2 linked regions of the Anolis sagrei genome follow. The protein of the gene in region 1 purifies or fractionates together with the protein of each later gene. This does not show direct contact. Links are inferred from orthologs where the notes say so. Each region holds a gene or a part of one and is shown in the gene's direction. Other genes may lie near its edges.

Evidence for each region. Proteins that work in one complex are often made in the same cells at the same time.
Region 2: the proteins of CAPZA2 (region 1) and CRACD purify together in Homo sapiens (affinity purification with mass spectrometry; 3 studies listed by BioGRID and IntAct, counting the BioPlex papers as one, with this or other methods). This does not show direct contact. The link is inferred for Anolis sagrei from reciprocal best matches to the Homo sapiens genes CAPZA2 and CRACD.

Annotation. Positions count from the first base shown.
Region 1 is NC_090025.1:131,056,591-131,064,157, reverse strand, and holds the start of CAPZA2 (F-actin-capping protein subunit alpha-2), read left to right. Parts: upstream 1-4,555; 5' UTR 4,556-4,708; coding exon 4,709-4,747; intron 4,748-7,567. UniProt on the Homo sapiens protein: F-actin-capping proteins bind in a Ca(2+)-independent manner to the fast growing ends of actin filaments (barbed end) thereby blocking the exchange of subunits at these ends.
Region 2 is NC_090025.1:73,367,778-73,375,209, reverse strand, and holds the start of CRACD (capping protein-inhibiting regulator of actin dynamics), read left to right. Parts: upstream 1-4,422; 5' UTR 4,423-4,443; intron 4,444-4,692; exon of another isoform or gene 4,693-4,759; intron 4,760-7,432. UniProt on the Homo sapiens protein: Involved in epithelial cell integrity by acting on the maintenance of the actin cytoskeleton. Positively regulates the actin polymerization, by inhibiting the interaction of actin-capping proteins with actin.

The DNA of each region.
Region 1 (7,567 bases):
TATCTGTGGATCATCAACAGTTCATCAACAGATATATAAACCCCCTTTTTCCCAGCTCCAGACCTCACCCTCTGAGGATGCCTGCCATAGATGCAGGCGAAACGTCAGGAGAAATGCCTCTAGAACATGGCCATATAGCCCGAAAAAACCCACAAGAACTTTATTGTATCTAACCCTTCAATAAACTGTATCAACTTTATGATTTTGTGTAACTTCTATCTTTTAACTATACACTGTATATATTTTCTATATACACTGTATAAGAACTGTTTAAAAAATGTACAAAATGTAGCCTAGGGAAAGCCATCCTCCATGACCCTGCTAAAATAATCCCCTAAGAATAGAAAGGTGGGACAAATCCCCTTGGCTGTTTCCCATGCCAGATAAGAATCAGATTAATTGTTTATATGTAAAGGTAGACAATCTCCCATGCCAGCCAGATTAGCTCAGAAATGCTTGTGTGATTCCCCCAAAGACTTAAACATATGTGCATTCATTAACACTTTTATTTGACAACCTAACTTTTGATTACCCAGGATTGACCCCTGATTGTTGTACCTTTGCTTCCTGAGCCCTGTATCATTGTTTGGCACAGAATTGGACAGCTGAGCTAATTAAAAGTTCATCAACATATCCCTAGTATTTTCTTCCTGGGGGAGTCCCAAAAGCCCTTTTCCTGACCAATCCCCAGCCAATATTCGTGGCATAAATCCTGTCAGCCTCTTTTTTGGCCAATCAGAGGAGGGAGCAGGAGGTTTGAATGGCTGTCAGAACTGTATAAGATATCTTGCCTTTCTCCATACCGTTATGCTTGTACATTTTGAAGCAAATTATTTACACTTGTATCCTTTTTGGCCAAATCGCAGTCAATTTCAGTGGCTTGTCTTCATCCTGTTGAGTTGTTTCTCTGCCCTGGCCCTTCTGGTTTTAGCATATGCTTGTCGAGCGTGGATCTTAGGTAAATCACTGCAGAATGAGGGTACCAGGTCAATTATACAGTCATATGGTCAGTATGTTGGGAAATTATCAACCTCCTTGTTAAGAAAGACTTCTGCAAAGTCCTGATATTTTCTTAGCAATGTGACAGGGAGTTCAGCTGGTTCTGAGTCTTGAGCAGCAGTCACCTGCTCTGGTCTGCAATGCTCCTAATAAATAACAACAACAACAACAACAACAACAACAACAACAACAACAACACTTTATTTGTACCCCGCTACCATCTCCCCAAGGGACTCGGTGCGGCTTATATGAGGCCGAGCCCAAATACAACAATACATGCAATAATAACAACAGCAATTAAAATAAAACATGGACAATAAAATAACGCAACATTAACAATAAAACCACACGATTAAAACTGTGGGAAGGCCAAATGTAAAATTAAAATTGGAAGTAGTGCTGGAACATGGGAGAAAAAGTGATGGGGCGTTTGTGGAAAACATACAGATGGGGCGTTTGTGGAGAACATAAAAAATATCTGCCACCTGGAGCAAGAGATATGGGGTTCATGTCAGATGAACCTCTTTCTTTCATTCCTTCTTTCGCTCTTTGGTTTCATCCTTCCTTCTCTCTTTCCTTTCTTCCCTCCTCCTTTCTCTACTTCTTCCTTTGTCTCCTTTCTTCCCTCCCTGTTTCCATCCTTCTTTCACTTTTTCTTTCCTTTTCTCCTTCCTTCCTTCTTTCAATACCTCTTTTTTCCCCTTCCTTCCTTCTCTCCTTCCTTCCTTCCCTTTTCCCCTCCCTCCTTTCTTCTCTCCTTTCTTCCTGTCTGTTTTCCCCCAATACCATGGCAGAGTCCCTTCTAAGTCTATTCTATGAGTCTATTTAATATAGTAATATATAGTAGTAACATTATATTATATAGTGCTGTATATAACAATAATATATATAATGTAATATATATGATATAGCAATATATATAATAGTAATATATAAAGTATTACACACACACATCACACCAACATCCATCTGTGTGAGTGTCTACACTGCCATATAATCCAGTCCTAAGTAGATAATCTGGATTTTACATGGCAGTGTGGAAGGTTTGATTTTGGGTGCATCTACACTGTAGATTTAATAAAGGAGGATGAAGCTGGTGAGGGAAGGAGAAAAAGGAAGGAAAGAAAGGGAGGAAGGGAAGGAGACATGCAGGCAGCAGCAAACATTGCAGCCGCTGCTGCTTCGGAACCCTCATTCTGTGTCCTCAGTGTGAGGGGGGTAGGGGAGGTGTGTTGTCTTCTTCCTTTTTTGAATTTAAAGGTGTTTCGTGGGATTTTTCAGTGATGATCACTCCTTGGATCATGAGGAGTTTTGTTGCCAAATGTGGGGTCATTTGGCCCTGTAGTTTTTGTTTTGTTTTTAAGGAACTCATTATGCACAGAGCATTTATATATATATAGATATAATATAATAATGTGATATAGGAATTCAAGGATGGGTTCAGATCATGACTCAATCAAATGCACAAAGAAACATCCACGTTTTCAATTCCTTGTGGTATGCGGCTAGGGAGGGTGCCAGCCTAATCTCCCTGGGGAGGGAATTCCAGAGATTTGGGGCCACCACCGAGAATGCCCCCCCCTCTCGTCCCCACCAGCCGCGTCTGAGACAGGGGTGGGGCAAGAGAAGAGCATCCCCAGAAGATCTAATCTTGTGCTATGCTAATAATATTTTATATGCGCATATGCTATTGGTCATAATATTGTAATACAATATAATATTAAGTAATTATATATTACATGTATTACTAATAATATTGTAGTGTAGTGGTATCGTACAATATAGTAATATATAATACTAATATTGTGCAATGCTAATAATATAATATACTAGCTGTCCCCTGCCACACATTGCTGGGCCCAGTCTGTTGATCTGGAAAATAAGGTAATGAGAAAGTGTTGGTTTCTAATATATATAATTCCTTTATGCTTGTGGGTAAACAGTATTTCTTGCTGTTTCTTTGTCAGTGTTGATGTGGAGAGTGTCTGGTTTGCCTACTCTGGAACATGCAACATACAATTGTCCTTCTTTAGGGGTCCCTTTCAAATCTATGATACTATATCTGTGTGTGTGTGAATCCTATCTATCTCTATCTATGGCTGGATGGCTCTTTGTCAGGAGGGCTTTGATTACATTTCCTTGTCCTGGTGAAGGGAGTTGGACTAGATGGCTTTGAGTATTTTCTGTTGGTCATGGGGATTCTGTGTGGGAAGTTTGCCCCGATTCTGTCGTTGGTAGGGTTCAGAACGCTCTTTGATTGTAGGTGAACTATGAATCCCAGTAACTACAACTCCCAAATGTCAAGGTCTATTTTCCCCAAACTCCATCTGTGTTCATATTTGGGCATATGGAATATTCGTACCAAGTTTGGTCCAGAGCCATCATTGTTTGAGTCCATGGTAGTCTCTGGATGGAGGTGAATGATAACTACCAAACTCAAGGTCAATGCTCACCAAACCCTTCTAGAGTCTTCTGTTGGTCACAGGAGTCCTGTATGCCCCGGTTGGTTCAATTCTATCATGCTATTTGATTGTAGGTGAACTATAAATCTCAGCAGCTACAACTCTCTATCTATCTATCTATCTCTATGGCTGGATGGCAGGACTTTGATTACGTTTTCTTGCCCTGATGAAGGGAGTTGGATTGGATGGCCTTTAGTATTTTCTGTTGGTCATGGGGGTTCTGTGTGGGAAGTTTGCCCCGATTCTATCGTTTGTGGGGTTCAAAATGCTCTTTGATTGTAGGTAAACTATAAATCCCAGCAACTACAACTCCCAAATGACAAAATCAATTTTTTTTAAGTGAGGGACATACATTGGGTATGTTAGGTGTCTTGTGTCCAAATTTGGTGTCAATTCGTCCAGTGGTTTTTGAGTTCTGTTAATCCCACAAACGAAAATTACATTTTTATTTATATAGAAGTAATATTACTAATAATATTGCAGTATAGTGCTATCGTACAATACAGTAATATATATTACTAATATTGAGTAATGCTAATAATAGAATATATTGTATGTACAAATAAGCCACTCTGAGTCCCCTTAAGGGTTTTCTTTTTTTGTCGTGTCAGGAGTGACTGCAAGTCGCTTCTGTTGTGAGAGAATTGGCCGTCTGCGAGGACGCCCGGATGATTTGATGTTTTTATCATCCTTGTGGGAGGCTTCTCTCATGTCCTTCCTTAAGAGTGAAAAGAGTGGAATATGAATGTCGTAAATAAATAAATAAATAAACCCAGAATATATGGCAGTGTGGACTCAGAAAACCCAGTTCAAAGCAGATATTGTGGGATTTTCTGCCTTGATATTCTGGGTTATATGGCTGTGTGGAAGATTCTTCCACATAGCCATATAACCCAGAATATTAGTGAGTGCAGGAAGGAAGCCTTTCCCAAAAAAAGACTGGAACCTGCCTCGTATCCGCCCTTACTCCTGGAAAAGGCTTCACTCTGCATGTGTGCGCATGCTCGCGCTCCGGCTTTCTATTGGCTCCTCCGCCGGCTCCTGCGGCGCGCGCCCCCGCCCCTTTCCCTCCCTCGGTGGCATCCGGAGCCCCGCCCTTCCTGCTGCCGCTGCTGCCGCTGCTGCTGCTGCTGCTCGAGCGCGGGGCGGAGGCGGGCGGCTGGGCCTTGGCTGCTGTTGCGGCTCTTCCTCCTTCTCTTCCTCCTCCCGCCGCCTCTCCTTCTTCTCCTCGAGGGTCAGAAACGAAGATGGCGGACCTGGAGGACCAGCTCTCCGACGAGGAGAAGGTGAGGGGGGCCCAGAGGAAGGGAGAGAGAGGCGGGAGGCCGAGGGAAGCCCAAGAAGGCGAGGAGCCTGAGGGAGCTTCCTGGAGAGGGCAGGCATAGGGGCCAGAGGAGGAAGAGGAAGGGGGCCCTCCTGGCGCCCTCTTGCCGCCTAGGCCTCTCGCCGCTCCTTGTACGGTCCGAGCGCTGAAAATAGGCTGGGGCCGATCTGGTGTCTGGGGGACGAGCCAGCAGCCCGCTTCCTCCTCCTCCTCTTCCTCTTCTGTTCTCCTTTTCTGCTGCTGCCTCCATTGGCGCCTCCAGCCAGCCCCTGCTTTCCTCTGGCCTGAAGTAGGCGAGAGTGTCCTGGCGGGGCAGAGGCACTCTAGGTCGCCTTTGAACTGCCAGGGCTCAATGTAGGAAGATCCTGGGAGTTCTAGTTTCACAAGGCCTCGAGCCTTCTCTGCTCAAGAGCGCCTCACTCCAAATCCCAGAACCCCATAGCATTGAGCTTTGGTAGGGAAAGTGCAGTCACACTGCACTCAATCCACAGTGCATTATTATTATTATATTTATTTATACCCGGCTTTATCTTCCCAAAGGGGACTCAGGCCCCTTCCAGAAAGGCCCTATCTCTCAGGATCTGATCCCAGGTTTTCTGTTTTTTCCATATTATCTGGCAGTGGAGACTCGTATAATACAGTTTTAAGCAGAAAACCTGGTATGAGATCCTGGGATATAGGGCCTGTCAGGAAGGGCCCTCAATATATAGATCTGGCTTCTGCAAATTTTGGCCTTCCAGGTGTTTTGGACTTCAGCACCCCAATTTCTAACAGGAATTGCCTGGTGTAGATGCATCCTGGGATTCGTAGTTTGTTGAGGCACCTATTTTCTTCCCCTAAGTGATGTAGTCACACTGCAGAATCATTACAGTTTGAGACCGCTTCAATTTCCAGGGCTCAATCTGTAATATTCTAGGATTTATCCAATGCCAGGACACCACAGCTCTCACAGGGCTTGCGAATGCCAGAGCTTGATGACATTTTTTCTCCTGTCGGGAGCAACTTGAGAAACTGCAAGTCGCTTATGGTGTGAGAGAATTAGCCATCTGCCCAGATGTGTGATGATTTACCATCCTTTTCTCATGTCCCCGCATGGGGAGCTGGAGCTGACAGGGGAAGCTCAACTTGCTCTCCCCAGATAACATTGAGTCATATCAGTTTAAAGTGGTGTCAAACTAGTATATTTTTGTCATGTGACCAAATAATAATCATAATCCAATTTATTTATATCCTGGCCCCTCCTCCTGAAGGAACTTGGGGCGGCTCACAGTGGAAACATTTTTGGAAAATGGCATTCATAACCTTTTGGAAAGCGCCTTTTGGAGAATAGCATACAACCAAATATAATTATTCAGTTGTTAGACTGAATAACCTATTATATCTGCTCTTTTAGAAAAACAGAGATTTTACCAGCTCACAAAAACTGCAGAGTTTGAGAAGTGGGTTTCAGTGCCCAAAATATATACACTCTCCCATAAAACAGCTTGTTTTATATCATGCACTCAAGAGTGAAAAATGAAGTAGACTTTGATAAAAATAACATTTGGTTTGCTCACAACCTTCATGTGTTCAGTATGCACAGGTACAAAACTTATCAGTCCCGTTTCAAATATGTTTGAGATAATTCTTTGTGTCATCCCGCCAGAGCATCTCTCTTGTAACAAAATAGCTATCAATACCTCACATAGTCAAAAGGAGAGAGAAAAAGAGCATATGGTCTGCAGCCCCTTTTACAACTTTTCATTGAAACATAAAGGAAGCTGCATACCAGAACATACATTCAGGAAACAGTAAGCAACAGAATCATAGATAAACATTATTAGAGAAGGCTTGAAGAAGGTTGTCATTTCCAACAAAAAATACAGTATACATAATAATAATCGGCCAACCAAGACTGGTTCCCTCTAACCTGCAGTCCCCTCCAGTCTTCGGGTGTGTTTTGGGCAGGGCAGCCGTGCCACTTCAGCTCTGGTGAAAGAAAAGAGAGAGAAAAAGAATAGATAAGCATTGCCCTTATCTGAAATGCTTGGGACTAAAAGTATTTAAGATTTTTTATTTCCCCTCCTGATTTTGGAATATTTACACATAATGAGGATCGGAGATGGGACCCACCTCTAAATACCACATTTATGTATATTTTCTATACGTCTTGCACACAGCATGAAGGTAATTTTATGCACAATATTTTGGATACTTTCAGGCATGAAAGTATCCACTGCTTTGAGTTGCCTGAGGGCTGAGAAAAGCGGTATATAAATAAATAAATAAATAAATTCCATGTTAAGAAAGATGACTTAGATGCCCATGTTATAATAGATTTTGGAGCATTTAACATTTCTAAATAAGGTATCCTCTGCCTGTATAGATAGCATATCAACATTTAGTGAATATCATTTGATTGCCCCTCATGTCATCATCCATGGGGTCCAAAACAATTTTTACATGGTGATGATATTTTTTTGTCTCTTAAATCTTTCCCCTCTCTTTAAGTGATGATAAACACCTCATGGATGTGTAAAAGGTTAATGAATCCTTGACAAAGAGGTTTATTTCCGGTTAATTGTTACAGAAGATGAATACATGGTATAATATATGTTCATTTTGAAGCTACATTTCAAGCTTGATCCTCTGAGGATGCATCTAATCTGTAGAATTAATGAAATTTGACACCACTTTAAGTGCCATGGCTCAATGTTATTGAATAATGGGAAGTGTAGTTTGGTGAAACTATTTTGTAGAGAACTCTAAAGACCTTGTCAAGTTATTCCATAGCATTGAACAA
Region 2 (7,432 bases), about 58 Mb from region 1:
CTTTGACAAGTATCTGGCCACTTGGAGTGCCTCTGGTGTTGCCGCAGAGAGGTTCTCCATTGTGCATGTAGCAGGGCTCAGGTTGCATTGCAGCAGGTGGTCAGTGGTTTGCTCTTCTCCACACTCGCATGTCGTGGATTCCACTTTGTAGCCCCATTTCTTAAGGTTTGCTCTGCATCTCATGGTGCCAGAGCGCAATCTGTTCAGTGCCTTCCAAGCCGCCCAGTTTTCTGTGTGCCCAGGAGGGAGTCCCTCATTTGGTATCAGCCACTGATTGAGGTTCTGGGTTTGAGCCTGCCACTTTTGGACTCTCACTTGCTGAGATGTTCCAGCGAGTGTCTCTGTAAATCTTAGAAAACTATTTCTTGATTTAAGTCGTTGACGTGCTGGCTGATACCCAAACAAGGGATGGGTTGGAGATGTCACTGCCTTGATCCTTTCACTATTAGCTGTTACTTCCCGGCGGATGTCAAATGGTGCAATACCGGCTAAACGATGTAATTTCTCCAGTGGTGTAGGGCGCAGACACCCTGTGATAATGCAGCATGTCTCATTAAGAGCCACAGCCACTGTTTTAGCGTGGTGAGATGTGTTCCACACTGGACATGCATACTCAGCAGCAGAGTAGCAAAGCGCAAGGGCAGATGTCTTCACTGTGTCTGGTTGTGATCCCCAGGTTATGCCAGTCAGCTTTCGTATGATATTGTTTCTAGCACCCACTTTTTGCTTGATGTTCAGGCAGTGCTTCTTGTAGGTAAGAGCACGGTCCAGAGTGACTCCCAGGTATTTGGGTGCGCTGCAATGCTCCAGTGGGATTCCTTCCCAGGTGATCTTCAGAGCTCGGGATGCTTCTCTGTTCTTGAGATGAAAGGCACATGTCTGTGTTTTAGATGGGTTGGGGATCAGAAGGTTTTCCCTGTAATAGGCAGTAAGAGCACCTAGAGATTTGGAAAGCTTCTGTTCTACCATCTCAAAGCTCCCTGCTTGAGCAGTAATGGCACGATCATCAGCATAGATGAAACTCTCTGTCCTTTCTGGCAGTGGCTGGTCATTTGTGTAGATGTTGAACATGGATGGAGCAAGCATGCTCCCCTGAGGCAGGCCGTTCTTCTGTTTCCGCCATCTGCTTCTCTGGCCCTGGAACTCAACAAAAAAGCTCCTGTTTTGTAGCAGGTTTCCTATGAGGTGGGTGAGGTGGTAGTCCTTTGTGATATTATACATTTTTCTCAGGAGGAGGCGGTGGTTCACAGTATCATAGGCTGCTGACAGGTCTATGAAGACAGCTCCTGTAATCTGCTGCCTTTCAAAGCCATCTTCTATGTGCTGAGTCAGGTTCAACACTTGCGATGTGCAGCTTTTGCCTTTTCTGAAGCCAGCATGCTGTGGGATCAGACAGGGGTCTATTTTTTTCCGTAATTCTATGCAAAATAAGTCTCTCCAGAACTTTGTAGAGGTGGCACAGGAGGGAGATTGGTCTGTAGCTTTTTGGGTCATTATGGTCTTTGCCTGGCTTCAAGATGGCGATGACTCTTGCTTTCCTCCAGATTTTGGGGATCTGACAGGATGTAGTGCAGTTGTTCATCAGCTCCAGCAGCCAGCGCCTTGCTTTTGGGCCAAATTTCTTGATTTGTTCCATCCGTAGATCATCCAGGCCAGCTGCTTTGCCATTTTTACATTTATTGAGAGCCATGTCCAATTCAGTAGATGTAAAGGGTTCATGAAGGTTGTTGTTCTCAATCTCTCCTTGCCTGGCTATTGGTTTCTTTCCTACTTTGGTGGTAAAGTTGGGTTTCCCATTCTTCAAGAGTTGGTGTGCTATCTGATCTGCCTTTATGTTGGCATGGGTATTAGTTTGTGAGGGATCGTTGCTCAACCATCTTAGCAACCTCCACGCCTTCTGGCTGCTCCTGCCCATGTCGCCCTCTGTGATCAGCTTGATCCACTGTTCTTTCTTAGCTTCAGAGTGGCTCCCAGGTATTTGGGTGTGCTGCAGTGGTGCTTTTAAATGCTTCACACACCACACTCTGCGACCAGAAAGAGTGTGGTGTGTGGAGCATGTAAAAGTGTCACAAGTCCTGAGGAGGAGGATGGCATGAGGGCGCCCTTTCTCTCTCCTCTCCCAAGCCAGCCAGCCAGCAAGCCACGCCTCTCTCCTCACCGCCAAGGAGCTGCCAGGCTTAGGAGTTGGCGAACATAGTCATAATAATAACAACAATAACAACCACAACACAAAGCCAGAGCGAGGACGACCCAGAGCGAGGCTGCTCCCTCCTCTGCTTTCGCCATTGGAGGCGGCGGGCAATGACGAGGGCCGGCGAGGAGGCTGCGTGGCGCGAGGGAGGCGAGCCCGACCCCGTTCCCTCATTCCCGCGCCTCAGAGACACCTTCCAGGAGACAGAGAGAGGTAGGAGGACCCCTTTGTTGTGTGCCTGTCTCGCCTCAGGGAAAGAGAGGAGGAGGAGGAGGGCTTTTGGGGGTCCCCCGCCCCATGTCTGCTTCCCTGGCAGAAGGTGACCCTCCTCTCAGAAGTCCCACTGATGCTTGGGCATCAATGAAGGGGGCAGACAGGCAAAGGAAGGGAGGGAAAGGAGAGCCACCATCACAGTGGCATTGAAGCCATGGCTTCTCTTGGCACTGGGTTCAGAGAGAGCCTTTGGAGTGTGTGTGTGTGTATCTCCATTTATATATGTATGTATGAGCATATCTCCATTTATATATGGGTGTGTGTATATACATATGACTTGGGGTGTGTGTATCATATATATATATGGCATGACATGACTTGGGGTGTGTATGTGTATCAATTTTTATATATGTGTGTGTGTGTATATATTATATCTAGACATGTTTGGGCTGTGTGTGTGTGTGTGTGTATATATATATATCCATATCTATCCATATATATATATATGAGAGAGACTTGGTGTGTGTGTGTGTTTATGTGTGTCTGTCTATATATAATATATACACACCTCCAAGTCTCTCTCTCTCATATATATATGTGTGTGTGTGTGTATATGTGTGTGTGTATATATATATATATATATATATATACACACACACACACACACACACACATACATACGCACACACACACATAGCTCAAACATGCATACATATGATTGGGTGTGCATGTGTGTGTATTATATATATATATATATATATATATATATCAGTGTGTGTGTGTGTGTAATTAATTATATATATACACACACACCAAGATATCTCTCTATACATACACACACACTATACATATACATACACACACACACACACACATATATAGTATATACGCAGACACAGACACACACATATATAACGGGTGTGTGTGTGTTTGTATGTGTGTGTGAGTGTGTATGTAATTATATATACACACACATACCCACACTATACACACACACATATATAGTATATACACAGACACACATATATAACAGGGTGTGTATATATATATATATATGTATATGTGAGTGTGTATGTAATTATATATATACACACACACTATACACACACACATATAACGGTGTGTGTATATATGTATATGTGTGTATGTAAATAATTATATACACACACACACTATATATATATATATATATATATATAGTGTGTGTGTGTATATAATTATTTACATACACACATATACATAAATATACATAGACACACACACACATATATAACTCTGTGTGTGTATATATATACACACATGCACACATAGACACATATACACATATGACTTGAGCTGTGTGTATATATACAACAGTATATGACTATATGTGTGAATTGGTGTATGTGTGAATGACTCTGTGTTTGTGTGTATTTATAGATTAATGAATTGGTGTGTGTGTGTATATATCTATATCTGACTTCATATTTATGTGAATTGGTATTTGTATATATATTTAGAGAGATAGATGGATTTATATATAGGTGAATGTGTGTGTGTGTGTGTGTTTATATCTATATATACACAAACACACTGTATTTCTTCCATACCAAGATGCCCATGATTGTAAGACACTCACTCATTTCAGTCTTGCCACCCACGAAAAAGGTTTGGCTTTCCGTCATGCTTTAATTTGGCTAGAGACGGAGAGAAAAAGGGTGACGCTTCTTCCTCCTTCCTCTCCTCATTTCAGAGCTGCATTGCTTTGTCTGCCCTTCTCAAAAAGCCATTTATCACAAGAGTCGGTCACCATATTTTAATGAGCTGTGAAATGTGCCAGTTGTCATGGTTGAAAGATGGTATAGTTTTCTGTGCATTTCTTCCTCCCCTGCTAACTCCCCCCCTCCCCCCTGTTGTATCAAGTGCATTGAAGGTTACACACTGCCATGAATGAGAAACTGGTTTTGACTTGTTTTTCATTAAAAGAAAAAAATCTGCCATAGATATTCATTCATGGAATCAGATGGAGATAGATTATTCATTCCCAAAAATCTGCATAGGTAGGTCATTCATTTTAATGTGATTTGTTTATGTCTTTACTTCTGACATTGCTTCACTCTCACAAATAGCTAAATTAAGAGGAATACAACTGATGTAAAGAAAAGTGCAGATTCCTAGGAGAATTTTGCAAGGACTCTGTGGGATTTAGAGCATGATCCCTTTTCAATGTTCAAGGGGTTAAAGGAAAACTAGAAACCACGACAGGCACATGTTGAAATTTTAATATGGTTAACAATAGCACTGCTGAAACTGAGCTGCTGGGAGACGGGAAGAGGTCAGTAGGGAGAAGGGAAAGTGTCGCTTCCATCCACAACAGTGAGTACTTGCAAAGCCGGCAATTCATTTGGGTTTCCTAGTCCCCACATATATGCTTCTTCCCAAAAGAGGGCTTGTGAGATGTTTGCAATGGGTGTATTGAGGGATTTCATATGTGAATTGGAAATAATCGTAGAATAGTTCACTTTGTAAATCCAAATAGTATAGTAGGTAAAGGTAAATGTTTTCCCCTGACATTAAGTCTAGTTGTGTCCGACTCCGGGGGTTGGTTCTCATCTCCAATTCTAAGCCAAAGAGCTGGCGTTATCCATAGACACCTCCAAGGTCATGTGGTTGCATGGAGCATCACTACCCGTCAAGAGCAGTATTTATTGATTTACTCAGATTTGCATGTTTTCGAACTGCTAGGTTGGCAGAAGCTGGGGCTAACAATGGGAGCTCACCCTGTCCCACGGATTTGAGCTGCTGACCTTCCAGTCAGCAAGTTCTGCAGCTTAGCAGTTTAACACGCTGTACCACCATGGCTGCTTGTACTATAAATAGTACAAAAGGTATCTATATACTATTAATATTATTTTTAGTCAACAAATCCCTCTGTGGTCATCTTCAAGGTCATGTGGCTGCATGGAGCACCACTACCCGTCAAGAGTGGTACCTATTGATCTACTCACATTTGCATGTTCTCGAACTGCTAGGTTCGCAGAAGCAGGGGCTAACACGGGAGCTCATCCTGTCCCACGGATTTGAGCTGCTGACCTTCCAGTCAGCAAGTTCTGCAGCTTAGCAGTTTAACCCACTGTACCACCATGGCCGCTTGTAATATAAATAGTACAAAATGTATCTATATACTATTTTTAAGTTATTTTTTTATTGTAATATACCTTGAAAAAAGAAAATAAAACATCAAAAGAGTGAGAACAATTTTCAGATAGGAAAGTTAGGAAAAGGGAAAGAGCCGGGAAATAGACACTGGGAGAAAATAATAATAATAATAATAATAATAATAATAATAATAATAAATTACCATCTGCCAGCTGCAGAAGGCCACCTTACTGGGATCTGCATGCATTATTCGCCGATACATCACACAGTCCTAGACACTTGGGAAGTGTCCGACATGTGATCCAATTCAGCAGCCAGCAGAGTGTCTGCTGTGGACTCATTTTGTGTTTCAAATAATAATAATAATAATAATAATAATAATAATAATAATAATAATACCCTAATCTAGGGAGCCAAATAAGAGAAAACAGAACAAAGACAAGGACATTAGGGGGAAAAGAAAAAAAAATATGTCCATTGACACCTTCAAGGTCATGTGGCTGCATGGAGCACCACTACCTTCCTGTCGGAACAGTACCTATTGATCTACTCACATTTGCATTTGCATGTGCATGTTTTCGAACTGCTAGGTTGGCAGAAGCTGGGGTTAACAACGGGAGCTCACCCTGTCCCATGGATTTGAGCTGCCGACCTTCCAGTAAGCAAGTTCTGCAGCTTAGCAGTTTAACCTGCTGTACCACCATGGCCGCTTGTACTATAAATAGTACAAAATGTATCTATATACTATTTTTAAGTTAATTTTTTATTGTAATATACCTTGAAAAAATAAAATAAAACATCGAAGGAGTGAGAACAATTTTCGGATAGGAAAGTTAGGAAAAGGGAAAGAGCTGGGAAGTAGACATTGGGAGAAAATAATAATAATAATAATAATAATAATAATAATAATAAACCCTAATCTCAGGAGCCAAATAAGAGAAAACAGAACAAAGACAAGGACATTAAGGAAAAAAATAAAAAAAGGATGTGTCCATAGATACCTCCAAGGTCATGTGGCTGCATGGAGCACCCCTGCCTTCCTGTTGGAACGGTACCTATAGATCTACTCACATTTGCATGTTTTCGAACTGCTAGGTTAGCAGAAGCTGGGGCTAACAACGGGAGCTCACCCTGTCCCATGGATTTGAACTGCCGACCTTCCAATCAGCAAGTTCTGCAGCTTAGCAGTTTAACCCGCTGTACCATCATGGCCTCTTGTACTATAAATAGTACAAAATGTATCTATACTATTAATATGATTTTTAGTCAACAAATCTTGCTGTGGTCATCTGCAAGGTCATGTGGCTGCATGGAGCACCACTACCTTCCTGTCAGAGCGGTACCTATTGATCTACTCACATTTGCATGTTTTTGAACTGCAAGGTTGGCAGAAGCTGGGGCTAACAGTGGGAGCTCCTCCGCTTCCCAGATTCGAACCACCGACCTTTCGGTCAGCAAGTTCAGCAGCTCAGTGGTTTAACCCAGTGCGCCACCGGGGGCTCCAAAAATAGCATAGTAGTAAGAAAATAACAGGGGAGTTTTGTTATTAAATTGATAACATTTATTAATGTATCACTGTGCTCTAATACACATTTATTAGAACGAACTAAAATACTTACCTTTTTCTCAAACTGCCTTTATTATGTTAGTGACTGTAATGTATATCTCACCTTTGGGATCTCAAACTTTTCCCTAGTGACACACAGGTAGCATCAAGAGACATTAAAAACATTAAAAACGACACATACATCACATAAGAGAATCACTACATAAGAATTTGCCAGGACTTTCCAGAAGTCTTTGCCTACCTTCCTCTCTCCCCCACAATGGTGGCTGATGGCTATTGTTGCTGACTGGGTCAGAGTTTGGAAATAATCCACAACCTATGAT